Ovis aries: one gene and its partner. Each later gene encodes a partner of the first gene's protein in a complex. Links are inferred from orthologs where the notes say so. Each region holds a gene or a part of one and is shown on either strand. Other genes may lie near its edges.

The links.
Region 2: TPRKB (region 1) and GON7 share a complex: the UniProt entries of both Homo sapiens proteins name them as parts of the EKC/KEOPS complex. The link is inferred for Ovis aries from reciprocal best matches to the Homo sapiens genes TPRKB and GON7.

Annotation. Positions count from the first base shown.
Region 1 is NC_056056.1:95,589,416-95,604,660, forward strand, and holds TPRKB (EKC/KEOPS complex subunit TPRKB), read right to left. Parts: upstream 13,041-15,245; 5' UTR 12,903-13,040; exon of another isoform or gene 12,308-12,902; intron 10,803-12,307; exon of another isoform or gene 10,800-10,802; 5' UTR 10,781-10,799; coding exon 10,640-10,780; exon of another isoform or gene 9,558-10,639; coding exon 9,435-9,557; exon of another isoform or gene 8,110-9,434; coding exon 7,933-8,109; exon of another isoform or gene 7,420-7,932; coding exon 7,333-7,419; 3' UTR 7,100-7,332; downstream 1-7,099. Other genes in the region: NAT8 (N-acetyltransferase 8), read right to left, coding at 1-312. UniProt on the Homo sapiens protein: Component of the EKC/KEOPS complex that is required for the formation of a threonylcarbamoyl group on adenosine at position 37 (t(6)A37) in tRNAs that read codons beginning with adenine.
Region 2 is NC_056071.1:55,645,423-55,660,826, forward strand, and holds the start of GON7 (EKC/KEOPS complex subunit GON7), read right to left. Parts: upstream 6,320-15,404; 5' UTR 6,263-6,319; coding exon 6,055-6,262; intron 1-6,054. Other genes in the region: putative E3 ubiquitin-protein ligase UBR7, read left to right, coding at 6,517-6,666, 8,553-8,686, 9,280-9,340, 10,419-10,514, 11,684-11,737, 12,101-12,206, 14,347-14,555, 14,726-14,875 and 1 more. UniProt on the Homo sapiens protein: Component of the EKC/KEOPS complex that is required for the formation of a threonylcarbamoyl group on adenosine at position 37 (t(6)A37) in tRNAs that read codons beginning with adenine.

The DNA of each region.
Region 1 (15,245 bases):
CTCACTGAGGTAAGATTTAGTGATGTCAGACATGTCTGTGTGCAAAGACATGACTACACACTGCTTCCAGGGGTATTCGGCAAGGAACCTCAGGGCAGCAAGGAGGGCGAGGCTGGACACGAAGGCCAGGACCCAGGAGCCAGAGACTAGGATTAGGGCGAGGGGTCCCCCAAGCAAGAGCACAAGGGTTTGGGGCAGCTTCAGGATGTGGCAGAAGGTGGTAGGAATGTGCTCGGCCATCGCCTCAGAGAACAAGTCTGTGACCCATTTGCGGTCATTTTCCTGGTATTTGCGGATGTGATAAGGAGCCATAGGAGACTTCTGATTCTCTGGATCCCAAAGTTCAAGAGAGACCTAGGTGTCCCCTTATGCTTGCCCAGCAGCCCTGGGGAAGAAAGAGGAAACCATGTGAGTGGCCCACTTACCAGAACCAGGAAGGCCCTGCGCAAAGATGTGTCTCTCTGCTTCTACCCAAGAGGAAGTAGGCCACAGCCACTGGGAGAAGGCGTAGAGTCCGAAAGACCTGCATTTGATCGTGGCTTCATGCATGACCTTGGGCATGTTATATAATCTCTAAGAATCTGCCTTCTGAAGTCGTTCAGAGGATTTAATGAAATAACACCCTCCCCGTCTTTCCCCATTCCCTAGCCCTCGTCTCAGTTTCTCCGTACATTGGTGCTCCATGCTGCAGCCACCCATGTGTCCTTTTGGTCCCTCTCTCAGGGCCCATACACTGGTGGAAGCCTGTGTTTCCAAGTACAAAGACTTGGAAACAGCAAATGTTCCTTCCCCCTTGATTGCAGGTTCTCAGGCTGCTGAGGTGGCATAAGAGCGTAGCTCCAAAAGTGGTCCAGCCTTGAAGGCCGGGGCGAGTCCGGAGCTCAGGCCACACCTGAGAGCACTGTCCTTCCACCCATGTCCTCTCACCTGCTGTCACAAGAGCCTGGAGTGTCCAGGGCAGCCTCTGCCTGGCCTCTGTCCTCAGTATCCGACTGGCATCCAGGAGAGACTGTGCAGGGCCTGTTATACTTCTGGGGCACAAGCCTGGATGGCACCTCATTGGCTGGCTTCTGAATATTTGTTAATCATAAAGCCCAAGCTCAAGGGGCTGGGCCATGATGAGCAGGAAGCCCATTCTTGGGGAATTAGGCTGGAGGGGTCACACAGGGTTTGGAACAGCTCAGGGGTCCTCACCCTTGTGGCTGGCCTACACCCCCCCAGCATGGCAGTTCACCTGGCACCTTGGTGCCCTCTGATGTCCATGCTTGGCCCCACCGCACAGCTGCTGTGACCCTGGAGCATTAGCTCCTCACCCTGTGCCCTGTCATCACAGGCCAGAGTCCAGTTCCACTGGCTCAGTACACAAGGTCCTTCAGAGCTGGGTGAGGGCAGCGGGGCATATCATCCAGTTTACGAAGTTTGGGCTCTGTTCGAAGAACATCAGGAGCCCACTGCTGTTCTTTTAGCTGGGGCGTAACAACCAGAGGTAGCAGTGAGTTGTGTGATGTGTGTGTGATTCTGGTGACCTGTGGAAAATGGACTGAAAGGGCCTGGAATGGAAGTCTATATCCCCCTGCCCCCCAGAGGCTAGTGCAGTGGTCCAAGCAGAAGGGCCTCTGGATACAGATACGCAGGTGCTCACTTTACAAGATCACCTTGTCAAGGAAGGCTTGTGGGAACTAAAATCCACGAGCTCTGGCACAGAGCTGAGTCTGACCAAAGGAAAAGGCATCTTTTTCTTATTTTGCTCAAAGGTGTCACTGCCCACTGAACTGTGTGTCCAGCAGGTTGTCAGATTGAAGGGGGTGCCTTGTTCTTTGTTCACAAAGGAGCCATCTAGGCTAGTGGGGATCCTACAAGAGAAAGCAGCAACTTGGACCAGAATGGGGCCATGGAGGTCAACTGGCCCCCTTGGAAATATCTTTTGGGAACAGAAATGACAATGCTAATTTGAGGATGAAGAAGGGGTCAGAGGTGATAGCTAGGTTTCTGGCAAGAGCAACTAGGAGGATGCTCCAGAGACAAGACTTGTGAAAGAGATCACCACAGAGGTGCCATTTTTAACATTTCAATGTTAAGCAAAATTTGAACAAGGAACCAAAAGAGAATAGAAGGCTCCAAAGTATAGCTGAGTAACCCTAATGAGTCTGTAATGTTAACCAATCAGAAACCTAATGGTCAAGCTGAGGGGCCAGATGTTCTGTCTGTCCCTCCCCTCTCTTTCCTGTATTCTCACCAACTTCTGTGCCTTCCTCAACCCAGTGACCTTGGTTTACATTTAGGCTTTTTAACCTTCCTCATAGTCATGAATGATGATCATGAGGATTTACTGATATGAAAAATAATTGTCAAAATATAATTGTCAAGCTATAAAAGATTATAAAACTATGTTTTCATTCATTTTTGAAAAATATAACAGTAATAATTTATATTCACAAGCATGCAGAAAGAAATGTCTTGAATGGTTACACCAAACATTGGCAGCATTTATCTCTGGATAGAGGAATTATGGGTAATTCTCTGTGTAAGAGATACAAGTTGGAAGTCTCAGCAGATTACAGGTTCTTGACCCTGCTTTCAACTGATGAAACTGAGGCTTGAGAATCTACCTGTCTCTGCCTCAGCCAACTCCTTTTTAAAAAAAATTTATTGAATGACAGTTGATTTATAGTGTGTTAATTGCTGCTGCATAGCAAAGTGACTCAGTTATATATATACATTCTTTTTCATATTCTGCATTATGGTTTATCACAGGATATTGAATATAGTTCCCTGTACTATACAGCAGGACCTTGTTTATCCATTCTGTGTATAATAATTTGCATCTGCTAATTCCAAATTCCCACTCCCTCCCTCTCCCACACAGCAACCACAAGTCTGATTCTGCTTCTGTCCTGTGGACGAGTTCACTGTGTCCTCTTTTAGATTCCACATACAAGCGGTCTTGTATGGTATTTGTATCTGTCCTTCTCTGTCTTCACTTGGCATGATGTTCCCTAGGTCCATTTACACTGCTGCACATGAACTTCAGCCAACTCTTGAGAGTCAGTCTAAACAGACCCATCGAAGATTGTGAATTCCTGAAGGAAAGGCAGGTTTGTTATTCTCTTATTTTTAATTAACCATTCAAATTTGTACAACTCAGTGGCTCTTAGTACATTCAGAATGTTGTATAATCACCACTTCTGTCTTGTTCTGAAGCATTTTCATCACCCCAAAATGAAACCCCTTAGTCAGTCACTCCATTTCCACCTCTTGCACCCCTGGCAACCACTAGCCTGCTGTCTCTTTGGATTTACCTATTCTGGATGTTTCATTTAAATGGAATCACACAATATATGAACTTTTATGTTTGCTTTCTTTCACTTTGGTTCTCAAAGTTCACCTGTCCTAGCAGGTATCAGTACTTCATTGCTTTTTATGGCTGAAAATGTTCCATGGAAAGGACAGACCGCATTTGTTTACCCAGCCAACCTGCTGTCCTAAGTGTTACTTGCCCACCCGCAGTGAGTCTTGTTTTACTTCATGCCTCAGTATTATGCCTGGCACATGCAGACAGCTGCTATTTGCGGAGATATTAGATGCCTGGCACTGTGAGAAAGCACTTTTCCTGTGCTGTACTATTTGACATTCACAACCATCTAAGAGCTAAGGCTCATATTGCTTCCATTTTACAAATGTGAAACCGAGGCTTACAAACCTGAGAGATCCTACCCAGGAGAGTGGCACCCAAGCCTTGGCAGTTTTGACTCGAAGGCCTGAACATTTTGCTTTTTCAGTACCACGTGCTGACCCCAAAAGGCAGGTATCTGACAAGTGTTTGAGTTATTAATTAGTATAAAGCACTGTATGCCAACAAAAACAGCTGTCTGCTGGGATGCAAGATTCACCTCTAAGCCTCATCATGCCCCTATGTTCAGGTCATACTTGACCCAGATCCAGTATGTGACTAAGGCTCAGGTCCAGTTCAGTGCTACCTCCTCCATCAAGATTTCTGACTCCTGACAACCAGATGGATCTTGTATCTGCTCCCTCCCTTTGAAGACTTTGCACTTCTCATCCAGCACTTACATTGCTGTTAATTTGTTACTTGCTAAAAACTGTTAACTTATTAACAGTTAAACAGTTACTAGTAACCTGATAGATTATTTTATTTTTCTATTATCTGTAGGAACCTGATTATAATAGGTAGTTATCTTTTTGAAATCACTGTTATTCCGAGAGTTGTGGGACTTGAGGGCAGCATGTCAATGAAATCCCATGCTTGCATTTATGAAAAACACTTGCCTCTTAGACCAGCTAAGCCCAGAAATGGGTCAATGAAATGGAAGTTAGACAATCAAGTGGTGTCATGTTTTGGAGTCTCAGAAAGAGGAGGAAAATGTCCTGGAAAGAACATCATCTCCCCTGATCTCTCATCAGGGTTCCCAGTAAGCCAGCCTCAGGTCAGTGCCCTGGATGCCACTGAGCACTCATAACATGAGTGAGAGGAAGTAACAGCAAATTGTTTCAAGAGGAAAGAAAGTGGTCCGATAGGTCACTCCTTGGCAAGATGTTCAGAAATACTGGAACAATGATTCCAGCTCTATAGAAATACTTCTAAACTTTTAGCAAAAGGGAGGTGTTATCAGGCCCCAACGCTCAAACTAGGATAACCCAAGCTCATTTTATACAGATCACCAAAGGGCCTAATTATGAAGGTGTGGGTGGGTAAAGGGGAGCCAGGTATGTTAATGCTCAAGAGGCCTGAAGTGAGGCAGGAGGGTGGGGGGACAGGAACCTGAACCAGAAGTTGAGTAGCAAGGACCACCCTGAGAGGTCCAAGGCCAAAGCCAGCCTAGGGATCCTTGCAGCGAGGAGCCAGGAAAATAAATACCTTTGGCCTCATTCTCCTGCTGGCCTCCCCACTCCACACACTGGCCGAAGCCAAGGGAAAGGGAGGACCTCTTGCTGTGTACACGGTAAGTCAGCCTCCAGGGCAGAGAGAAGAGTGGAGAAGGATGAAGAGTGAGCTGGAGGGAACAATGGCAGATAACTGGCACAGAGGATTATGAAAACAGTACAAACTTGGCTCATTCTGAGACCAATCACCTAGAGAGTTGTGCTCTACTCAGTTTTGTAACACGGAGTGCAGATAGCACAGCAGTCAGCAAAACAAAACCGGGTGCAGAGAAGCAGCCGCAACCCTAGCACAGGTTCCAGGTTTCCAGACAAGCAGAAAGGTCGTCAAAGGAAAAAGCGAAAAGGAGAACTGCAGCAGGTGGCCTGAAAAAGCCTGTGAGCCCCAGGGCTCCTTCTAAAAAGGAGGCGCAGTGCTTAGGAGCATTCTTGTAGTTTTCCCGAGCGTGAGGTGGGGAGAGGGGCAGGGGATTAAAGATTCTGCCACTACAGTGGCAGCTTTCCTTGCTCCCAGGACTGGGGAGATGGGGAGCAACGACTGCCTGGGTGACAGAGCCCCCTTCCCTCACATTATCCTAGCGACAGCTGGCTGTTTGCCTTAGTATCCCTTGTTAACCCTGTAACCCTTGACCAAGGAGCCAGATGAGGGCAGCCAGGCAAACTGCATCCCTTCTCTTCCAGCATCAAAGGCCCTATAATCACTGGTTGCTTTTGCTGGGGGAGTGTTTAGGCTCTGAAGCAAACTGGTTAATTTAAGAAGAAAGAGAACATTATTCCTAAATTGGCCCAACATTTTTAAGAAAAAAAGCTTGTGGACCTTATGTAAACTTTTTTCCCAGGAAATGGCATTACTTCTTTTTCCTTCTTCACCCAAAGGCTCATAGAGTTTAAAAAAAAATCTATATAGTTACAGGTATAAATCCTTTCAAAACTCTTGATAACAAATAAACATAGTTCAGCTTCACCAGTAGTCTGACATTTTGAAATGGTGAAAATGTTGAGAAGTTTAAAGGCACTGTTGGTGAGTCTGCTGAGATTGGCACACTTATGCACTGCTATTACAACTGCGAAGTGGCACTTTTCTGGTATTAAAAATTCATGTCCTCTTCCCCAGTAATTGCACTGCAGGGAAGCTATCCTACAGAAAAAGATGTGTACAGAGATTTGCTTGCAAAAGCAAAATGAAAAATTGAAAGCAGTGCTAATATATAAAAATAGAACTACATTATGTGAAGTTTCACTTTTACAAAGAACATGTTCGATAGTTACGGCTGTGTGGAGTCGTTAGGAGCATCGAATTGGGTCACGTGGAGTTTTAATCCTGGCTACAGGCACTTTGAGCTGTAGGGCAGCTTTGGCTTCTCCCTAGGCTTCAGGAGAAAAGATGCCTCCATAATGGAGAAGTCTGGGGTACCACCTTAACAGAGCGACCAAACTGTACCACCAGTGACGAGGCCAAGTGACGGTATGTGCCTCCCAGTGATGTAAAACTGGAAGGACACAAAGTCTACGTATCATTCTCCAAAATATTTAAACTGATTCAAATCACGAACAAACTCATTCCGAAATTCTGAAAGACATCTGGGGCACTCCTCAAAAAATGTCAACATCACCTTTAAAAAAAAAATTGTTCTAGATTAAAGGAGCCTTTAAAAGAGACATGACTGTTGATATAAGACAGAAACCAACAAAATTCTGTAAAGCAATTCTCCTTCAGTTAGAAAATAATTGAGAGAGACATGACAACTAAATACAACAGAGGGTGAAGTGCCCCAAGGTCTGCAATTTACTTTCAAGTATTTCAGAAAAGAAGTGTTTGCCCATGCATAGACAAGACTAAGAACAAGCAAAGTTAGCAAAACATTAACATACAGCCTGTAACCTACTCTATCTTGACTGACACAACCATATTTTAAGATAAAATATGAAAAAAAAAACAAACCATTTATAAAACATGATTTTTAGCTGTACGACCTTGCGCACATTATTATTTGTACAACCTTTTAACGGGAGTAATCTACTTCATATGATGTTGTGATAATTAAATGAATTCTTGCATACAAAAACTTGGAACCAGGAAGCTTGGAACGGGTGATGCTGGAGTAGCCAGAATTAAGTGCAAGAGTATGAGCTGATGGATATAAAGTCATTTAGATAAGAACCTCGTATATTGTAGACATTCAATAAATGTTTGCAATTATTCCAATTATATAAAAATAAAATATATTTGGACAGAAACAGAAGACAATAACAACAATCACCGTGATTATCTTTTAAAATATGAAAAGGTAGGACCAGGAGTGGTTTTTTTTCCCTTTGTTACTATTCTGTGTTTTAAAACTTTATACAACACAACATAACAGATTTTATGATCTAGGAAAAACAATGAATGTTTTTTATAAAAGCTGAAAAATTTTTAATATTTCTGTCATTTCACAAAACATCTTTCGTTGACATTCTACAAATGATACCATCCAATAATGTTCCAATACTTTCTTCTTGTGAAGATAGTTTATATACCTATAAGCATAAAAGACAGATTATGACATGCTGACATATTCATGCACTACTAATTTTCATTATACAAAAATGTATATGTGACCTAATTTATTACTCAATTATTGGGATAATAGGATGGAATCACAATGTGATTAAGGTATGCAAAGTAAACAGCAACTCATCACTTATGTCAAAAGTTTCAACTGCAGTTATAGTGATAACTCTCTAAACATCAAAACATTTGTACCAATTTTAAAAGCACACATCTAGACATTAACTTCATACTATATTTTATATTTCAAATGTAAGCTTGATATCTAAAGTTATCCTTTTTAAAAGAATATCTTTACCAACTAAGTTTCTAATTATATCTTACATAAATCTGCATTTCTTTGCATGTCTTATCATTTTTCAAGTAATTTTTAACTATATTAACCTTTCTTAAAAGTGAAAACAATATAGAAGCATTGGTGATAAGGAAACAGTATTATTCCACATCTATCATGCTCTTTCTAAAAATACAGGTGTACAAACCTTTTTGACTTCTGTAATATTTGTTATTTCAGGGAGATTTTCCAGGGGAACCTGGTGACCTTCTACCTGAGATATTAGGTGTTCTTGATTTATTTGTTTTTCACCCTCCTCAATATAAGCAATCAGAATTGAAGTATCATTTGCTGAGATACCAAATTTTTTCAAGGCCTCTGAAATCTAAGGGGTGAAAAAGACAATAAAATCAGTAGCTCAACATGTGAAACCTCTCCCCATTTGCAGCCTTTCCTGGTCAGATTCTTATTTTTCATAGCCTAGTGGTTCTCTCTGCCTACAGTTTCGCAGTGTCCCTCCCTCATCTCTACCACCCCTGCCTCTAGAGTACTCCCCGCTCGAAGCTGCACCTCATTCCCACAGAATCCAGCCTGGACTTAACTGGATGGACCCAGTGACTCGGCACGCGCTCCTGCCCTCCAGCCAGCGGGGCTGTCTGGGCTCCCGTCCTTTCCTACTTTTCTCGCCTGTGCCTGCACTTTGTCCTCTACCTGGGCTGCCAGCATCTTTCAAGGGTCCAGTTCAAAGGTCACTCCTTTAGCACTTTCCTCCTTTATAGCATGAATTGCTTCTCTGTTCCCACAGATTTGCATTATTATTCCACTATATCAATTATCTTAGGACGTTTGAACCTTGTCTTGTTCATCTTCCTTGCTTGGGAACACTTCTGACCCCAGACTGGAACAGGGGCAAGCTTAACACATGCTTATGAACTGCAGTCTCCTGAGTTATTTCAGTGATCTCAAAGAGACAATCACCCAGTAATTTTCCCCAAGATACTGGGGAATCCCATTACTACCCATTTTATAAATTTTTCAAACATCTGCATTTTAAACCATGCCACACGTTTCCTAATCTTTCTCTCCATGTCAGTACTTGACTGTGTTTAGTAGTTAGTACTTAGTGAGTTCAATCGCTCAGTCGTGTCCAACTCTTTGTGACCCCATGAGTAATAATTAAACTTCGTCAGCAAAATTAGTTGGTTTTTTAAAAAATAAGCCCAGGTGGAATGTTTTTAACTCAAAAACTTTGATTACTATCAATCTCTCAAACACAAACTCTTCCTATGTACTGCATGTATGAGCATGTGTTAAGAGCTAGTCTAGGTATCCGGCAGATTTCTGGTCTATGGAAAAGGCATGGTTCTATCCTCAAAGAGTTTATAGGGAGAATAAAAGATGTGCATGGTAACACACAAATACCCATGCCTAATTTTTATCATGAGATTTAAATAGCATTTTCCTAACTCTGTATGTCAGGAAGGACAAATAAAACTATCCTCAATTACTTTAGCTAAATTTCATGAGTGACTCCAACGCTTACTTGTCTCGTAGGCGGCAATGCTAAACCTCAACTCTGTCCAGCACTCACTCTTCACTGTTATTTTGGTTTGTTACCAGCAACAGGCTCCAACCCAACACTGAGTCACACACAGGCTACCATGACAAGATCAAAAGATATAAATAAAGTATACATTCCATATTAATTACATTGTTATTTGGGGAAAGATTGAAAATAACTTCAGTAGATAGAGTTCTTGTCTTCATTTTCCCCAGTTTGTAGAGGTGAACTGCTTTGTTTGCGGCCACAATTATCTGAAATGGATCGACAATCTACCAAAGAGAACAGGAAGAATTACACACAAAGAATCTGGAGCACTCTGAAGAACAATGCCCTGTACCCTCGAGTATCAGGCTGTTTTACTTCATCACAATTTCTATATTTTCAAAATTGTCAAAATCTTAAGGGCCTAGGTGTTTAGAAAAATCACAGAATTCTACAGCTGCAGGCAATTAAGATACAAAGAGTTTTAAAACAACTTATTGAGGACTATTATTATGGGAAAGGCCATATTCTCAACATTTAAACTTTATTTTCTATTCTACTCAAACCTACCCTATTTGATATCTTTTATTATTTTTCATGTGCAATAAATGAGGAAACCAAGGCAAAGAATGGGTTGGAATTTCAGTTCTGCCACTTACCACCAAGGGAACCTGGGCAAATTCCTTAGCATTTTATCTTTTAGAAGCAGATAATCATCTCACTACTTCATAGAGTTGTTGTGAAGATTAAGTGAGTTAGCAGTAATATAAAGAACTTACCAAATAAGCACTGAATAAAGGCTACCACATGCTCAAAGTCATAATAAATGGCATAACTGGGACTTAAGTCCTGGTGATTCTACCACTGTGCAATGCCTCCTTTACAGAGGCTTTCTAGGTCACACAAGATGGGTATCTAGGCATCTGCCATCATATCAGAGGGAAACCACCTTTCACGTCAGGACGGGGCTCAGCACTTGGCTTCTGCTGCTGCTAAGTCATGTCCGACTCTGTGTGACCCCACAGATGGCAGCCCACCAGGCTCCCCCGTCCCTGGGATTCTCCAGGCAAGAACACTGGAGTGGGTTGCCATTTTTAAAGTGAAAGTGAAGTCGCTCATTCCTGTCTGACCCTCAGTGACCCCATGGACTGGAGCCTTCCAGACTCCTCCGTCCATGGGATTTTCCAGGCAAGAGTACTGGAGTGGGGTGCCATTGCCTTCTCCCACTTGGTTTCTATTCACTGTTAAACTGAAGGCTGGCCAAATCTGAATCCACTCTACAGGTTAGACAAGTCCTTTTACATGAAGATAACAATTTTGGGCTAACCCATAACATCATGAAAAATCACTCATTGCCATGAGTACTTACCACTGTAGGATTTATTAATGAGCCATCAATGGCACCTTCCATGGCCTTTTTTCTCAAGCCTGCAGCATTTTTTACATCTTTAAATAACAGAAGGGTCACCCTGTATTCAGGAAATAGGTCCAGCTGATGTGTTAACTGCATTTCATAGATAAGCAGGATGCTACTGCACAAGACCAAAAGACCAAAAGTTAACAACTGTAAGTCACTAACAAATATCCTTGCTCACAATTAAAGTATTACAACTTTAATAGTAAGATGTAGAACTGTTAAACTTGAAAAATCCACCCCAAAACATCTGGCAGCCTGATGACAGACTGTCTTCCTAACCCTGCTAAGCTGTTCTAGCTTCCTTCCTGGGAAACGATCAAGGGCAACACCAGGTCCCCTAGTTGTACAGAAAAGGCAGGCTCTGGATGAGGGGGAGATTCTCAACAACTAGGAGCAGGGCACCAAACACTTTTTAGACCACAGGGTACTTACAGCATTAAGGAAACCTCACTCCAACTTAGTCTTTTTAGCTTTCTAATCTCACCATTTTATTTATATTTTGACAGAATCTAGACATAAATATAAGGCAGAAAACAATCTTATAGAAGAAAGTATGACACAACTCAGATATTCATTACATACATGGGAATTTAAGCCTAGAGGGTACAATTCTTAAATAGTAACACCCTTTATAGACATAAATTTAACAAGAAAAGGACAGGGTATATACAAAAACATAAAAGCAGCATAAACAACAAATAACTGGAGAGACATAATCTATCTTTGAATGAAAATACTAAGCACTGCAAAAATATAATCTTTAAAACAATTTCAATTAAAGTCTCAGAGATATTTAGATGAAGCAATTTTATATAGGGTCACTTTATCCTTTTATCTAGGAGGTTTTATTTCCACCGTTTTTCTGAAGGAATAAATTGGCAATCTGAAGATTTATGTAATAAGATGTTTTTATCATCCTGAGTAAAAGGTTGAAAACCTACCTAACTAGTAACAGGCCCAACTACAGTGGCTTTACTGACCAACCACTAAAAACTGTAGTCTTGAAGAGTAGCTAAGGATGTGTAAATATAGTAATAAATAACATTAAGTACTTAACATCTGATTGGAAAATAAAACAAAATGTTCATAATATGTGGGTTTTTTAAAATGGACACAAAAAGAAAACTACTGGAAAAAACAACAAAATATTATCTTTGACTTGCTGGAATTACATCTGATTTTTTCTGTTACAATCTGGAAAAATAAAATTGTGAATAGTGTCTTGGCACAGCAGGGCCACACAATCTTTATTATCATGATAATATCCAATGGAAAAAATATATATACATAAAATGTATACCCAATTCTACCAAAAAAAAAAAAAAATTGATTCAGAAAACAAAAACAAAGGAAGCACACCAAAATACGGCCATCTTGGGTAGCAGAATTACAGACAATTTTGTTTTCTAGAAAAAATATTTTTGCATGTTCTGAATTTTCTACAGTGAGCACACAAAAGATAATGAGTACATACAACCAGGGAGGAAACAATTTTTTTGTGTTTTTTGTTTTTACAGTAGGGGGAAAAGGGGGCCTATCAAATGTCAAAAATGGTTTTGGTTTGTTTTATATAATTCACTCACTTAGGTCAGAAACTTCGAACCATCGCTGGATACTTACCTTCCACTCAAATCCCATATCTTATGCAAAACTCTTGTCAATTTTTAAGTATCATCTTGAAGGGTCCAATTCTCTCCCATACCTACTCTGCCACTGCCGTTGGCCACCTTCTCTCCTCAACAGCGGTGACCTCCTAGAAGTCGCCTCACAATTCCTTCCCTCCTATCATCCAACTTCCACCCGGGAGTCAAAGTGATCTTTTCAAAACGTACACCAAATCCTGCCCTGCTATCAAGTCCCTTTATGTCACGGAGTCCCAGACTATGATCTGAGACCTTCCTCCCTCTTCCGCTTCCTAGCGCAGCCCTGCAGACAGCGCTCATTTCCCCTCAGCCGCACTGGCCCTTCCAGCTTGTCACCACCCCCAGTCCCTACCCAGCACGCCCCCTCGGACAGGCGGTTACTCTGAATTAATCCTCCCTCCCTTCGACTGGCCAGTAAGAGCCCATTTGCCGGCGCCCCCAGGACTAGTCTCCTATTCTCCGAGCTCCTCTGTTACAACTTTGGTGAGTCTGAGGCTCATCAGAATGCTGTATCGTCCGCCCTCGAAGGGAGGCTGAGCCGATCACTGCCGGGCTGCATCCCAGGACCCGACCTTAGCAAACGCTCGATAAACGAGGGCGCCGAAAATCACAGGTATCATCTGGAAAATCACTGGTCTCCAGTCCCCGCCCGCCCCGGCCAGCGATGTGGCGCCAGGTACTCACCGTCGCGTCCCCGTCCGTCTCGTAAGATCTTCCCCACGGAAACAAAGCGCTCAACTTCCGGGAGATCTGCCGCAGCTGCGTTCCTTCCTCGCCCTACCCGACCCTGCAGTGTCATTTCAGGTCGGGGTCGGAGGGAGGTTCTCAGCTACCTCCTTACACAGAGTGTTTCGCCGGCGTGAGTCGCGTCCGCTGACCCGAAGGGGAGCAGGGGCTCGGTGCGCCACTTCCTATGAGAGTGGCGGCAAGGCTCCTCCGACCGGGCCGGAAGCTTGAGTGCGGGTCTTGGCCGCGTCCTTAAGCCGCTTGGCCTTGAACGAGACATCCTGTTTCATCCTATGCGAAGAAAATTAATGGTTCCGATGAGCTCTACATATGTCTCCGCTGCTCGAGATTCTACAGTTCTTTTTCGAGGCAAGCAGGACTCAGTTTTTTCTTGTTCTGGACGAGGTCCAGTTGGCCAGGATCTCCTGGAGCCGAAAGCGCTCGGCGATCTGCCTAGGGTATTTGAGAGAGGTGTCAGTACAACCTCTTCCCCCAGCAGGCTCCCGTTTGCCATCCCTGAGTGTATCAGCCTCCGAAAGAGGAGGTCATCCGCTAAATGGGTGTTTTTCTTCCATGTTATTCTAATATGTTATTCTTCCATGTTTTTTATGCTTGGGGGCTCATCTAGGTCAATACTTTTCTTTAAACAAAAAGGTAAATAATAAATAGGATAGATATGTGCTATGGAGAAAAAAAACTAGAGAATAGGGGGTAATGTCAGGCCGTGAGTATTACCGTTTAAAATAGGATGGTTAAGAAAGATCTCACCAAAAAGGGCCATTTGTGACTGGGGGAGGTTTGGAGGCAGGTTCTGTGTGTATCTGAAGAGCAGCAATTCCAGAGAGAACAGAGAGAGTTAAAAGACTCAGAACAGATATGGCCTCATTTAAGAAAGAGCAAAGAGAACCGTGTGGCTTGAGCCCAGTGGGAATATATATGAAATTATTCTGAGGAAAGACTGGTATCCAGATTATATAACCAACTCCAATTCGAAAATAGTAAGAGACACAACCTGATTAAGGATAGATGGCACAATTGAACACATTTTAGGAAAGATACATGAAAGGCCAATAAAAACATGAAAAGATGCTCATCATTAGTCATCAGGGAAATAGACACAAATTAAAAACATAATGAGTTATTACTACATACCCATAAGAATGCTAAAATTTGAAAGACCTTAAAATTTTTAAATATCAAGTGTTGTCAAACATCCAGAACTGGAACCTTCACATATTGCTAGTCGGAGTATAAAATAAAAATAGTGTAACCACTTTGGAAAAGAGTTTGGCAGTTTCTTAAAAAATTAAATGCATGGCCCCAGTGTTAAAGAATCCACCTGCCAGTGCAGGGATGCAAGACTGCTGGTCTGATCCCTGGGTCAGGAGAATCCCCTGGAGGAGGGCATGGCAACCCACTCCAGTGTTCTTGCCTAGAGAATCCCATGGACAGAGGAGCTGGGCAGGCTACAGTCTATGGGGTTAAAAAGAGTCAGACACGGTTGAAACAACTGAGCACACTCCCTTGCACGTGCGTACTTAACCATTCGCAGCAGTTCCACTCCTTGATATTTAACCAGGAGCAGTGACAACATGTCCACCCACAGGCTTGAACATAAATGTTCATAGCAACTCTACTCATGATGGCCCCAAACTGGGAACAACCCAGTGCCCAATAATACATGAATGGATAAACAAATCATGGTAAATTCATGTCATGAAATACTATTCAGTAATAAAAGGAATGAACATACTTGCAACATGAATCAATCAAAAACATGCTCAGCAAAAAAAGCAAAGTAAAATTGTTACTGTATGTTTCCATTTCTACAAAACTATAGGGATTGCAAATATAGCAAATTTATTCTAGAGTGAAAGCAAATTAGTGGTTGTTAGGGACGGGGAAGTGGGAGACACTGGGAAAAAAAAAAAAAACCAAGAGAACATTTGTGATGAAGCCAATGTTCTATGTCCTGATGTCATGTTAATTACAAGGGAACCTGCATTAAAATGCATCAAATTATGTCATTTTAGAAAGTACATTTTGTAAAATTTCTCAGTAAAGTTGATTTAAAAAGACAAAGTTGTCCAGTTCAAAGTGACTTGTCTGTGATCACCAAAAGCTAGAAACAACCCAAACCCTTGTTAAGTGAATAAACAAACTGTATATCCATACAATGGAACACAACT
Region 2 (15,404 bases), on another chromosome or scaffold:
TAGGTTATAAAACCATCACCACTAACTCTAGAATACATTTTATCTTCCAAGAAAGAAATCTCATACCAATTAGCAGTCACTTCCCCTTCCTGGGTCGGGAAGATCTGCTGAAGAAGGGTTAGGCTACCCACTCCAGTATTCCTGGGATTTCCTTGTGGCTCTGTTGGTAAAGAATCCACGTGCATTGCGGGAGACCTGGGTTCGATCCCTGGGTTGGGAAGATCCCCTGGAGAAGGGAAAGGGTACCCACTCCAGTATTCTGGCTTGGAGAATCCCATGGACTGTATAGTCCATGTGGTCCCCAAGAGTCAGACACAACTGAGTGACTTTCACTTTCACTTCCCATTCCCCTTAGCCCGTGGCGACCACTAATCTACTTTCCTCATTTAACTTATATGCAGAGTGTATCATGGGAAATGCTGGGCTGGATGAAGCATAAACTGGAATCAAGACTGCCAGGAGAAATATCAATGACCTCAGATATGCAGATGACACCACCCTTATAGCAGAAAGAGAAGAGGAACTAAAGAGCCTCTTGATGAAAGTGAAATAGGAGAGTGAAAAAGCTGGCTTAAAACTCAACATTCAAAAAATGAAGATCATGGCATCCAGTCCCATCACTCCATGACAAATAGATGAGGAAACAATGGAAAGTGAGACTTTAATTTCTTGGGCTCCAAAATCACTGCAGATGGTGACTTCAGCCATGAAATTAAAAGATGCTTGTTCCTTGGAAGGAAAGCTATGACAAACCTAGACAGCATATTAAAAAGCAGAGACATCACTTTGACAACAAAAGTCTATATAGTCAAAGCGATGGTTTTTTCAGTAGTCATGTATGGATATAAGAGTTATAAAGAAGGCTGAGTGTCAAAGAATTGATGCTTTTCAACTGTGGTGTTGGAGAAGACTCTTGAGAGTCCCTTGGCCTGCAAGGATATGAAACCAGTCAATCCTAAAGGAAATCAACCCTGAATATTCACTGGAAGGACTGATGCTAGGCTCCAATACTCTGGCCACCTGATGTGAAGAGCTGCTTCACTGGAAAAGACCCTGATGCTGGGAAAGATCGAGTGGAGGAGGAGAAGGGGACAACAGAGGATGAGATGGTTGGATGGCATCATTGACTCAATGGACATGAGTCTGACAAAACTCCAGGAGTTGGTGATGGACAGGGAGGCCTGGTGTGCTTTGGTCCAAGGAGTCGCAAAGAGTTGGACATGACTGAGCGACTGAACAACAACAAAAGTCTATTTTCTTACCCCTCAGTTTTGTCTGTTCTGGACATTTCATATAAATGAATCAAAATATATGGCCTTTTGTGTCTGCCTTCTTTCACTTATGCTTTCAAAGTTCATTTACATTGTATAGCATTTAACAGTACTTCATTCCCTTTTGTTGCTGAGGAATATTCTACCATATGGATACACATTTTGCATATCCACTCATAAGATGATGGATATTTGTGTTATTTCTACTTTTTAGCTATTATCAATAATGCAGCTATGAACACATGTGCATTTGTTTTTATGGGAACATGTTTCCAGCTGTCTTGGGAGAACTTGGAGTAGAACTTTAGGACTAGAACTGTTGGGTCGAATGATAATTTTACACTTAACTTTTCTGAGAACTACTGAAGTGTTTTCCAAAGAAGACACCCCATTTTACGTTTCCACCAGCAACGTATGAGGGCTCCAATTTCTTCACATCCTAGTCAAAATACATGTTACTGTTCTTTACAATTATAGCCTTCTTGGTGGGTATGACACGCTATGTCATTGTGGCTTTGATTTGCCTTTCTCTAAAAGCCAGTGATGTTCAGCATCTTTTCATGTGCTTACTGGCCATTTGTGTATCTTATTTGGTCAAGTTTTCCGCACGCCTGGCAACTGGATTGTCTTTTTTGGTCATTATGATGATTTTTTTTTTCAACTGAAGTATAACTGACCAACAACACTGTTAGTACCAGGTTTATAACACCATGACTCAGTATTCCTATACAGAAAAAATGATCACCATTTGTCATTTTAGTATTGCATTCTATCACTTTTGTAATATTTACATTTAAAAATTTTTTTACTTGTTAATTGATATGATTCATATAAGATGAAATTCATCATTTTAATTGCTATCATTTTTTTTTTTCTGGGCTGCACCACAGGGCACGAGGGATCTTAGTTCCCCAATCAGGGATCAAACCTGTGCTTCCCGCAGTGGAAGCATATAGTCTTATCAGTGGAGCGCCAGTGAAGTCCCTCTACCATTTCAACAAAGAAAATTCAAACTGAAACTCCTTGGGGACTTGATTAAACATACAAAAGCATGTCCTTATATATGAAGCTATTAATGACCCATTATTAGCAGAAAAAGTAGAAGTTATTTTTCCAGCAAGCCATTTTTTAAATGGCTCCATCTGTACCTGTCCTTATTCCAATGATAGTATTTTCAACGGTTTAGAGAGGATCTTTTGGAGCCAAGAACCAGGACTTCATGCTGATGGAAACAATCTACTGTCTGAAATTCACATAATATTCTGAGTTGGTTCTATCATATTATCTGGCACTATCAAGATGTAAACAAGATGGAAAGAAAAGGAAAGTACAGTACAGTTTAAGCTCCTCTACAGAGGAGTTACACCTTCATGATCACAGCCTTGTCATGGTGAAGGGGCTTGTGTTATTCAATGAAGCTGCAAGCCATGCTGCGCAGTGCCACCCAAGATGGATGCGTCATAGTGAAGAATTCTGATAAAACATGGTCCACTGGAGAAGGAAATGCCAATCCACTCCAGTATTCTTGCCTAGAGAACCCCATGGACAACATGAAAAGGCAAAAAGATGACGCTAGAAGATGAGCCCCCAGGTTGGAAGGTGTCCAATATGCTACTGGGGAAGAGCAGAGGGCAATTACTAATAACCCCAGAAAAATGAAGCAGCTGGGGTAAAGCAGGAATGATGCTCAGTCATGGATGTGTCTGGTGGTGAAAGTAAAGTCTGATGTTGTAAAGAACAATATTGCATAGAAACCAAGAATGTTTGGAAGGTAAACTGGACACAGTCAAGAAGGAAATGATAGGAGTGAACATCAACATCTTAGGAATCAGTGAACTAAGATGGACAGGAATGGGCGAATTTAATTCAGATAACCATTGTATCTACTACAGTGGTCAAGAATCCTTTGGAAAGAAATGAAGTAGCCCTCATGGTCAACAAAAGAGTCTGAAATACAGTACTTGGGTGCAATCTCAAAAACGAAAGAATGATCTCGGTTCGTTTCCAAGGCAAACCAGTCAACATCACGGTAATCCAAGTCGATGTCTCAACCACTGATGCTGAAGAAACTAAAGTTAACTGGTTGTATGAAGACCTACAACTTCTAGAACTAATACCAAAAATGATGTCCTTTTCATCATAGGGGACTGGAATGCAAAAGCAGGAAGTCAAGAGATACCTGGAGAAACAGGTAAGTTTGGCCTTGGAGTACAAAAATGAAGCAGGGCAAAGGTTAAGAGTATTGTCAAGAGAACACGCTGGTCGTAGCAAACGCCTTTTTCCAATGACCCAAGAGACGCCTCTACACATGGACATCACTATCTGGTCAATACTGAAATCAGACTGATTATGTTCTTTGCAACTTAAGATGGAGAAGTTCCACATAGTCATGATCTGGAGCTGACTGTGGCTCATATCATGAACTCCTTATTATAAAATTCATGTTTAAATGGAAGAAAGTAGGGGAAAATCACTAGGCCATTCAAGTATGACCTAAATAAAATCCCTTATGATTATACAGTGGAGGTGACAAATAGATTCAGGGAATTAGATTTGCAGACAGAGTGCCTGAAGAACTATGGATGGAGGTTTGTAACACTGTGCAGTAGGCAGTGACCAAAACCAATCCAAAGTAAAAGAAATGCAAGAAGGTAAATTGGTTGTCCAAGGAGGCTTTACAAAGAGCTGAGGAAAGAAGAGAGGTGAAAAGCAAGGGAGAAAGAGAAAGATATACCCTTCTGAATGCAGAGTTCCAAAGAATATTAAGGAGAGATAAGAAGGCCTTCTTAATGAACAATGCAAAGAAACAGAAAATAATAGAATGGGAAAGACAGATCTCTTCAAGAAAATTGGAGACACCAAGGGAACATTTCATGCAAAGACAGGCATGATAAAAGGACAGAAATGGTAAGGACCTAACAGAAGCAGAAGAAATTAAGAGGTGGCAAGACTACACAGAAGAACTATACAAGAAGTCTTAATGACACGGATAACCACAATGGTGTGGTCACTCACCTAGAGCTGGATATCCTGGAGTCTGAAGTCAAGTGGACCTTAGGACTATGAACAAACCTAATGGAGGTGATAGAACTCCAGCTGAGCTATTTAGAATCTTAAAAGATGATGCTGTTTGATATGTCAGCAAATTTGGAAAACTCAGCAGCGGCCAGAGGACTGGAAAAGGTCAGTTTTTATTCCAATCCCCAAACCGTATGCAGGTCAAGAAACAACAGTTAGAACCAGGCAGGAAACAACAAACTTGTTCAAAATTGGGAAAGGAGTACATCAAAGCTGTATATTGTCACTCTGCTTATTCCAAGCTGGATGAAGCACAAGCTGGAATCAAGAGTGCCAGGAGAAGTATCAAAAACATCAGATACACAGATAATACCACCTTAATGGCAGAAAGTGAAGAGCAACTAAAGAACCTCTTGATGAAGCTGAAAGAGGAGAGTGAAGAAGCTGGCTTAAAACTCAACATTCAAAGACAAAGAAGATGGCACCCGGTCCCATCACTTCATGACAAATAGAAGGGGAAAAAGTGGAAGCAGTGACAGATTTTATTTTCTTGGGCTCCAAAATCACTGCAGACAGTGACTGTAGCCACGAAATTAAAAGACACTTGATCCTTGGAAGGAAAGCTATGACAAACCTAGACAGTGTATTAAAAGCAGAGACATCACTCTGACGACAAAGGTCTGTATAGTCAAAGCTATGGTTTTTTCAGTAGTCATGTACAGATGTGAGAGTTGGTCCATAAAGAAGGCTGAGTGCTGAAGAATTGATGCTTTTGAACTGTGGTACTGGAGAAGACTCTTGAGGGTCCCTTGGAAGGCAAGGAGATGAAATGTTAATCCTAAAGGAAATCAACCCTGAATATTCATTGGGTGGACTGATGCTGAAGCTGAAGCTCCAATAATTTGGCCATCTGAGGCAAAGAGCTGACTCACTGGAAAAGACTGATGCTAGGAAAGATTGAGGGCAGATGGAGAAGGGGGAGACAAAGGATGAGATGGCTGGATGGCACTGCAGTTTAAATGTACCTGAATTTGAGCAAGCTCTGGGAGACAGAGAAGGACAGAGGAGCCTGGTGTGCTACAGTCCATGGAGTTGCAGAGTTGGACACAACTGAGCGACTGAACCTCAACAACAACAATAGGGGAAGTAAGCCCTGATTCCAATATTTAGTTCTTAGGTTCTTCAGCTCAGGGTATTCAAGACAAGACTTAAGAATACAGTTAAAATTTCCATTTCTGCTTTCAAACTGCACCTACCACACTGGGAAATGAAAGGAGTCCCTGACAGTGAAGCCTTGTTCATCTGAAATCTATTCCAATCTTCAGAACCTGTTTCTATTCTGTAATAGATGGCGGTCTTCCAAACATATTTGTAAGTTCACGCCTGGGAAAATTCCTTTCCATCCTTCTAAGCCCAGCTTAGAAGTCATGCTCTTTCTGAAGCCTTCTTGGGTTCTCTAGGTTTGCAATAGTTACAAAGAAGCCTAGGGTCATTCCTTCTACTCTTTAATAAGAATGTTTGTCTGTCTAACCTCCCACAGAGTTCCACAAGAACAGGAACTGAGTCGCATTCACGTCATTCTTTCTCCAGAGTTCAGCCCAGTGACTGGCACAGGGCCGTAGGCGTTCAGTACGTTTTTTGTGTGACATAAATGAAAAGAGAATCGTCAAAAGCAGTCCTGCTAAACGAGTCCAGGTACAGCCCAAATTTCTCCGGGCGCCCCTGCCCGCCCTCCTGTCACTCGCTGAACCGTCTCAAAGCTCACCGTCCAAGGCCTCGTCGGGAGCCGCCGTCCCCCGGTCCTGTGCTTCCGGCTGTACCTGAGAGCCGAAGAGCTCAGTCACCAGCTCCCTCATCTGAGCCACACCGGACAACAAGCTCTGGAAAGGGTCGGTGACGCCCGGCGCCTCACAAGGCACCCGCAGCTGCTGTCGCTGCCCTTCCAGTCCGACGTACTCGCCCAACAGCTCCATAGCGACCGCTACGCTTCAGGAGCGCGCCACAGTGAGTCGCCACCGGAAACGGAAACCAGCCCGCCGCGGGCGCAGGCGCGGAGAAGGGAGAGGCCTGACTTCCGTTTGTCGGAAGTCGCTCCTCCCCCTTCCTTCGCTCCCTGTCTTTGGGATTGGTGTCTGGCACCGAGGCCCCGCCTCCTCCGGCCCCGCCCCTCGCGGACGCTTTTCCCGCCTCCGCCGGGGCCGGTCGGCGGTCCTGGTGACAGTTGAGGATGGCTGGAGCTGAGGAGCCAGCTGGGCGACAGTCGGAGTTGGAGCCCGTGGTATCGTTGGTCGATGTACTGGAGGAGGACGAGGAGCTGGAGAATGAGGCTTGCGCCGTCCTGGGCGGCAGTGACTCGGAGAAGTGCTCCTACTCGCAGGTGGGCGCGCGGCTCGGCCCTCGCCTCCGCTGAACCTCCCTTTCCCCACCGCCTTACCCTCTCTCTTCCCGCCGGCCGCGGCCGGCCCCCTGTGGTGGTCCAGCGCAGCTGTTGGTCGTAGGCTTCCCCATCCCAGGCCCAGGTGCCCTTTTACACTTAGTCTTCTGAGCCCCTTCTAACCTGTGGCCAGCAGGACGCCCCTCCTTTCTCGATTTTCCTCTGTCAGGCCCCCGACGTTTCTACGGTTTTGGCCCCAGAGCAGCTGCTCTTTCCTTCCTTCCTCGTCTCTTCTCTGTGCCCCGGCCGCTTTTCACCAAACCAACCCCGTGACCTTTCACATCCTGAGTATCTTTGTCCATACTTTTCCCATCCTCAGAGTATTTGCTGGGTACTAAACGGAAGAGTCAAATAATTAAAGGAGAGAGCTCTGGGTTTGAAAATCTCTCCGCGTAGGCTGGACTCCTGGACAGCTGGTTCCTCTGCAGTTTAGTTTGACAGGTGCTAGCTGGTTTTTTTTTTTGGCGAGAGGAAGCAAGTACCACGTCTCTCTGCAGTCGGCCCTCCAGGGGCATAGACCGGAACCCGAACAGCTGGTGGCACTGGCAAAGGAAAGGAGGGGAGGAGAGATGGCATTCGGAAGATGGTGGGAACAAGGACTGGAGGGGGTGTGACGTAGTGTTTGGTGACTCATTCTATGTTTCTAGGTTCAAAAATGGAGAAAGGTGGTAGAAGAAAACTAATGAGAGATGGTACTTGATAGGAAGAAGGTTATCTTCCAGGCAGGTGGAGTGGAACATTGCAGGATGGGGAGAGAGACATGGGGTCTTTACGTGGTGTTGCTTGAGATCACAATACCAGTTGTTATCAATGACCAGTTGAGTTTACACTGCAAAGTGGTTAGATTTTTTTTTTTTTAATACACCTGGCTTCAGAGGTATTTAATGTTGGCTGATATTTTAAAACCTTTGGTCGCCACTGGAACAACTTTTTCTCTGTTTGCCTTTTTTAAAAAAGCCTGTAAGTTATTTTTGAAACGTAGTTAGATTTTTAAAACAGACTTCCTTAAAAAATTTTTTTGTATTGTTGTAAAATATGTGGAAAAGTGCAGAAACCATGTATAAGTCTTGGGAAAGCAAAACTGAAAACACCTGCAGGTACATACCACACAGATCAAGAAATAGAACATTACCAGCATCACAGAAGCTTTCCTGGGACTCCCTTCTTCTCAGAAGATGGCAGCCATTATCAGGATTTGCTTTTCTCTCGACTTTTTATTTTGAAATGTTTAAAGTCTACAGTTAAAATGAAAAAATAATATTATGAACACCTGTGTACCTTCACATATATTCACTTTTTAATATTTTACCACATTTGTTTTATCTTTTACTTCTTCACTGTAATATACTTTGTTTTTGTTTCCTGAACCAGTTGAAAATAAATTTCAGACCATGACACTTCAACTCTAAATATGTCAGCATACATCTTAAAATCAAAGGGATTCATTTAATGCACTGGTTTTCTCTTTGGTGGAATCACAAGCATTTTCCAAAATTAAAGTATGATTATTCCTTACATAAGCTTACACACATTCTCCTGTATTTTCATGTGTTAAAATAGTTAAGCAGACCGGTTTATTCACAGCTGACTAAAAATGTTAACTTCTATCACTTTGAGAAAAAGTTATATGAAACGTGTATGAAACCTGCAACAGTGTTTTGGTATTCTATTGTATATGCTTTTTTATTAGTCTCAGTGGCTTTTACAGGAAGATCTTGACCCCAGATCATCTGATTTCAGTTATTTCTCAGATCATAGTGTGGGCATTAGGTTGCTCTGCCAGTGTTTCATCAGTTTCCGGTCTTTTTCCATTTTGGGGCTGTCTTTAGGGTTCAGTAAAGAGACAAGCACTGTATGCCTGCAGTACCTGCACTCCAGAGGGAGAAGAACCGGCAGGAATTTGCCTGGCTTGCAGTTACGAATGTCATGGAAGTCATAAACTATTTGAGCTGTACACGAAAAGGTAAACTGGTCAGAGATTGATGCTGGATGCTTTTCAAATGTTTAGATTCTTTTCCAGTTGCACTTTTTTTCTTAATCATGTTTTTGCATTCAAAGTAGTTGTGCCCTGGTAAAATTTAATGCAACTGTTTTATATAATGTAATCGGAAAGAACAGTTTTTCCAGGGGACCTTTTAAAATATAATTATGAGGCAAACTCAGACTACTCCTGCTATCCTTCCACTGTTTTATGTGTGTGTGTGAGATACAGATATTTGTCTTTATGCATGTTAATTTCTTGGAGAAGGAAATGGCAATCCACTCCAGTATTCTTATCTGGAGAATTCCATGGACAGGGGAGCCTGGTGGGCTACGGTCCGTGGGATCACAAAGAGTCAGACATGACTGGGCACACAGCACACACATGTTAATTTATAGAATTATTAAATCTTTTATTGTAATATGCTTGGGAAAATTGCGGATTGGATACATGAACAACAACCAAGTCCAATTTTTAGATCCTAGAAGCTAATTGAAAGGGAAGAGGCTATGATATGAATGTAGTCTTTAGACTTAGAAGAAAAATTAAAATTGGCTCTTCCTCCTTTCTTTCAGAAATTTTCGTTGTGATTGTGGAAACAGCAAGTTTAAAAATTTGGAATGCAAATTGTTTCCTGTAAGTAACCACAGTAAACGATAAATGCATAGAAAGTAGCTAAGATTTGTATTTGTCCTAGGGGATAAAACCAAGAATTTTCAAAAAGGAAGTTCTATGCTTCTTTGCCAATGGGCAAATCAATGTTAGACTGTACCCCAGTTTTTTATTTGTTGGAAAGCTAAGTAACCTGTTCAGAGCCTACCTATAGATTGTAATTAATATGAAAGGTTTTGGGGGTAGTGTTCTAAAGTGATTCAGGTTCAGTTGTGTTGATTGTGCTCATGCTCTAAGGCTTTTTAAAGAAAAGGGTATGACTTTTAAAACAATAAATAAAACTGGGCAATAATGAGCATGGGCTTTTGCAAAAGTTTTTCACTGCTTTTTGGATAATAAAGACTATCTTCTACAATAACTTAAGTGAAATACCAAAAATGAAACAGAAAATAAGGGACTTTACAGTGTGTGAAGTCGCTCAGTCGTATCCGACTCTTTGTGACCCCATGGACTGTAGGCTTCTCCGTCCATGGGATTTTCCAGGCAAGAATACTGGAGTGGGATGCCATTTCCTTCTCCAGAGGATCTTACCCACACAGGGATTGAACCTGGGTCTCCCGCATTGTAAGCAGATGCTTTACCGTCTGAGCCACCAGGGAGGTCACTTTACAGTATTCAGTCCTAATTGCTAAAGTTGTCATGCTCTTTCCCTCCTTCAAAGATTATTTTTAGATAACTTCTTTGCCTACTTTTCAGCTCCTAGTAATTTGGGGGCTTTGACTATCATAGCTGGGCATTAAGAAATATTTTGAAATTCTAGACCAGTGTCAGCTTCCATAGGTTGATAGTTAATATTTATGATTCATTCTCCCCCGATTGGTACAAAGAAGGTATAGAAAATAAATTTTATTTTTCCCTTGTATCCTGGAGAAAGTATTACTTATAAAGTAATAAATTTTTTCCTTTGTACTTTGAAGACTAGCTTCCAGGGGAGGGAGGGGGTACAGATATTTAGTGCACAAATTTATTGAATGCATAAATTCCATGATGCATGAAATTATAAAGTTAGGCCATGTTTTATATTGAAATTAATATCTTTCAGGACAAAGCAAAAATAAATTCTGGCAATAAGTACAATGACAACTTTTTTGGATTGTACTGCATTTGCAAGAGACCTTACCCTGATCCTGAAGATGAGGTAAGAGATTTGGAGGTCAGCACCAGGACTGTGTCATCTCCAGCCTTCACTTCCCAGCCTCTTGTCATATTTGGCCCTTTAGCTGTTCAGCAGGGATTTGGGGATTGTGAAAGTATTCTAGATTTATCCCTTCTTATGACTCTGACCTGAAGCTACAAGTAGTACAGAGCCCAACTATTTTTCTCTTTCTTACATCATGAGAAATTCTGGACAGGACTTTATCAAGGCCAGAACTTTTTTCCTTCTCCCCTCTCTTTGCCTGTTTGCTCCTTTTCTCTGAATAATTTCCAGAAAATGACCTTCAACTTCTCGCATTCCTGCAGGGAAAGAAAATAGGGTGCACAAACTGGATTCTCTTGAAAACTTCAATTAGAGGTGTATGCAAAATTTTAAAAGAATTGTTGTTCTTCCTCATTCCTGTACCTTCTTACCTCCCAGACATAACCACTGTTAACACTTTTGGTGTATATATTTTTAGACCTTTTTCTGTGCACATATAAGTGAGTGAATGTGTGCTTTAATTTCTAGTTTCCTTTTCTTTTGACAAAGGCAAAATTCTGTAATTCACTGTGCAACTTGCTACGATTCATATTACCTCCCTGGGTTTATGTGTGAAATGAAAATATACTACTTATTCATAAAGTTTTGTGGGAATCAGATAGTAAGTAACTGATATGAAAGTTTTGATAATTACTCACAAAGTGCTTATCTCAGTGTAATCCTTTTATAACCCCAGTTCATGGGGAAAGAACTTCTTTGACCCTTTGAATTGCTGTTTCTCCCTGTCTCCTTGACTTTTTGCATGTGGTTAGTGACCCACTCCAGTGTTCTTGCCTGGAGAATCCCAGGGATGGTGGAGCCTGGTGGGCTGCTGTCTGTGGGGTCGCACAGAGTTGGACACGACTGAAGTGACTTAGCAGCAACAGCAGTGGCCTTACAGAATTGGTAGAGAATTATTTAATATCTGATTCTAATGTGTGCCAGATTTACTTTGAAATTCCAGAGTTCATTGTCAGTCAGTTCAGTCGCTAAGTCATGTCTGACTCTTTGCAACCCCATGGACTTCAGTACAGCGGGCTTCCCTGGAGAAGGGAATGGCTGTGTTCTCGTCTTGAGAACCCCATGAATTCACTGTAACCATTAACAAACAAATTGCTTTTCTATGTTAGATTCCAGATGAGATGATCCAGTGTATAGTCTGTGAAGACTGGTTCCATGGAAGGGTAAGGAGAGCTTTGACCTTTTAAACCCATTGTCTTTACAAAAAAGAAAAGATCTTGTCTTTTTTTTTTTTTTTTTTTTGGCTGAGTCTGATCTTAGTTGTGGCATATGGAATCTAGTTTCCTAATCAGGGACTGAACTGAAGCCCTTGGCATTGGAAACACAGAGTCTTAGCCACTGGGTCACCAGGGAAGTCCCAAAAAGATCTTGTCTTTTGGAATTAAATTATATTTCACATTATCACTGCTCTTCTAAAAAATACTACAGATATGATCAATGTACTGTTGCAATATTTTATAAAATAATGAACTTTTTGGACAACTTGGTGATCACAAGGAAAATAACTTGGTTTTCTGTGTTCACAGCATCTTGGCGCCATTCCTCCTGAGAGTGGGGATTTCCAAGAGATGGTGTGCCAGGCTTGTATGAAGCGCTGTTCTTTCTTGTGGGCTTATGCTGCACAGCTGGCAGGTAAGAGTCTCTGTGGAGTTGGCATGCCTCCAACCTGGGCCACAATACAAATCAGTACAATTTGTTCAGTATCTAAGTTTTAGCTACTATGTTTTTCACTGTGTACTTTTACTTTATTTTATGGGGGGAATGGCTAACAAACAATGCTGTGATAGTTTCAGGTAAACAGCAAAGGGACTCAGCCATGCATATACATGTGTCCATTCTTCCCCAAACTCTCCTCCCATCCAGGCTGCCACATAACGTTGGACAGAGTTCCATTTTTAAGAGACTCTGTGGTGTAGAAAAAAGTACAAGATCTGTTCCTTCTCCACAAGGTGCTTATAGATAGATTGGGAGACTGCCAAGAACCAATTTGTACTTTAATGGCATGATGCAGAATATGGATGAGACCAGAACTGGAGAAAATGGAGAAAGCAGTTTTTAAGGGGATTTTGGAAGATAACAGAACCCAAACAAGTTGTTCTTAAATATAAAACATGCTATTGGTCGAGGAGGAGGTGGTGACAGTTTGTCATCTAATGCTTTTACTATACTTAAGAAATTGACCCCAAACCACTAATTAGTAATGAATGTTCTTAAGTATGAAATATTTTCAGTTCAGTTCAGTCGCTCAGTCGTGTCCGACTCTTTGCGACCCCATGAATTGCAGCACGCCAGGCCTCCCTGTCCATCACCAACTCCCGGAGTTCACCCAGACTCAGGTCCATCGAGTCGTGATGCCATCCAGCCATCTCATCCTCGGTTGTCCCCTTCTCCTCCTGCCCCCAATCCCTGCCAGCATCAGAGTCTTTTCCAGTGAGTCAACTCTTCACATGAGGTGGCCAAAGTACTGAAATACTTTATTTTACTCTTAATGTTATATGTGTTCATTTTTTAAATGGTAGTAATTCATAGTATCTGTTCTGGCCTCATAATTTCTTGCCCTTCTCACCTTTAGCGAACACTTCACCATACAAACCTCGAGCAGCATCCTATGTTTTTGTTTTGTCTCCAAGTTCTTATGCTTGGTGTGTCCTCTTTCTGTTCATATGCTTTGTATGTGTGTTTTTTAAAAAAATATATTTATTTTTAATTGAAGGATAATTACTTTATAATTACCGTGTTGGTTTCTACCATACATCAGCACAAATCAACCTGTTCATATCCTTTTCAATTACGTCTCACTTTCGGCTGGACCTGAATCTTTTTCTCATTCACTGGATTTTCTTAACCCTTCCCCTCTGCCCCTTCTTCATTTCCTTCCCTGTCAGCAGATGGCCTCATTTCCTAATAAACTGAAAAGCCATCCTCCAGTGTGAGTTCCCTTGTCATTTCTCTGCTCTCTGTCATTTCTGTCTCTGCAAGCGTCCTTTCTAATTTCCTCCTTGCATAAAGAAACCTGTTGTTTTTGCAAAACTACCCTTCTCCTGTGTTTGCAGCTAAATCTCTTCCTATTGCCTCTTGCTTCTTTGGTGTCCCTGGGTCTTTAACATCTATAGTATTTTCCTTTCTCATTTACATATAAAATGTTTAAGGTAGTGATTGATATATTTTTTTAGCTCTTTTTTCCAGATGGTTTTTTTTTTTTCTGTTCTTGGTTCACATTTTGTTTTTTACTAGAGTGTAATTACTTGACAATGTTGTGTTAATTTCTGCTGTACAGTGAAGTGAATCAGCTCTGAGAGGCTCTACAATGTCTTGCACATGCATGCGTACTCAGTTGCCCAGACATGTCCAACTCTTCGTGACCCCACAGACTATAGCCTGCCAGGCTTTGTTCATGGGCTTTTCCAGGCAAGAATATTGGAGTGGGTTGCCAGTTCCTCCTCCAGGGCATCTTCCTGACCCAGGGATTGAATCTGCATCTCCTGCATCTCGTGCATTGGCAGATTCTCCACCACTGAGCCACATATATCCCTTCCCTCTTGAACCCACCCTTCCCACCAGTGATGGATATTTTTAAATTTTCTGTTATTTGACACTTTAGAATAGGCAGGCACAACCTAAAAAAGTGTTATTTCCTTTCTCATTATTCCAGAGATTAAGGTTAACTCTCTCCTTTTCCAGATTCTGAAGTATTTTTTAATCAAACTAAGTGATTTCATTGTCTCACTGGTGTGGATATGTGTGTGTATGTGTGTTTTCATTGAACCTACAGTAACCAAAGTAACTACTGAAGATGATGGGTTGGTGCTGAATGTTGATGGAGTAGGTGATCAAGAAGTTATCAAAACTGAAAATGGAGCTCATCAAGATAATGCCCTTGAAGAGGATGTTCCAGAACATGGAAAGGCTGTTGTGAAGGAAGTTAAAGCAGAGCAGACAAACGAACCGTGTACCAGTTCTAGTTCTGAATCTGATCTCCAGGTAACAAAATGAAATCTGAGCTGTAAAATAAAACTTAAGCAAAATTAATTCTGTAAGCTATGTAGCTTTGGATTTCAGTTGTACCTTTTGCCTAAAAGAAATCCTTTTACAAAATCTAAACTTTGAAAACGATGATAGTTTAAAATACACACTTCAAAACTTAATTTCAGAAAGCATTTCAGAATCAGCGTCTCAACACAGAATCACAGTCTGGCTGCAGACTTCAGGAGCTTAAAGTTAAGCAGTTTATAAAGAAAGACACTGCCACCTATTGGCCCCTGAACTGGCGTAGCAAGTTGTGTACCTGCAAAGATTGTATGGTAAGTACCAGATCATGTTCAACATTAAGTGTTTTGTGGACAGATGCCTAAAATAAGAACACCTGGAAAGTTTATTTATGAAATTGATATTAGAGTATAGGGAACGTAAGTTTTTTTTTTTAATGTTAATCAAATTTATGAATTAGTGTTTGCAGTCTGAATGTTTATGGAAGCAATTAAGAACGATGCAATACTTCTTATTTACTTATCTTCATTTCAGTGGAAAATAGCTTTTCTATATCATAGAATTACTTGGAAACACAAATTTCTTGAAAGTTACAGTAAGTTGGTTTTTAAATAAAAATCTCTTAGATTATGCAGTATCCACTGGAAGTTGGGAGATTTCTAAGAGAAATTTGGGCAGAAAGAATAAATCCTTCAAGCAACTCTGCTGAAAGGCTGGGGTTTTTCTGAATATTAGAAAACTTAAACAAATTTTTGGTGATTCTCATGAGATCGACTTTCTGAGAATGACATACAGTTCTAATGGGGAAACTGGTTTTATTTTTTAAAGAAAATGTATGGCGAT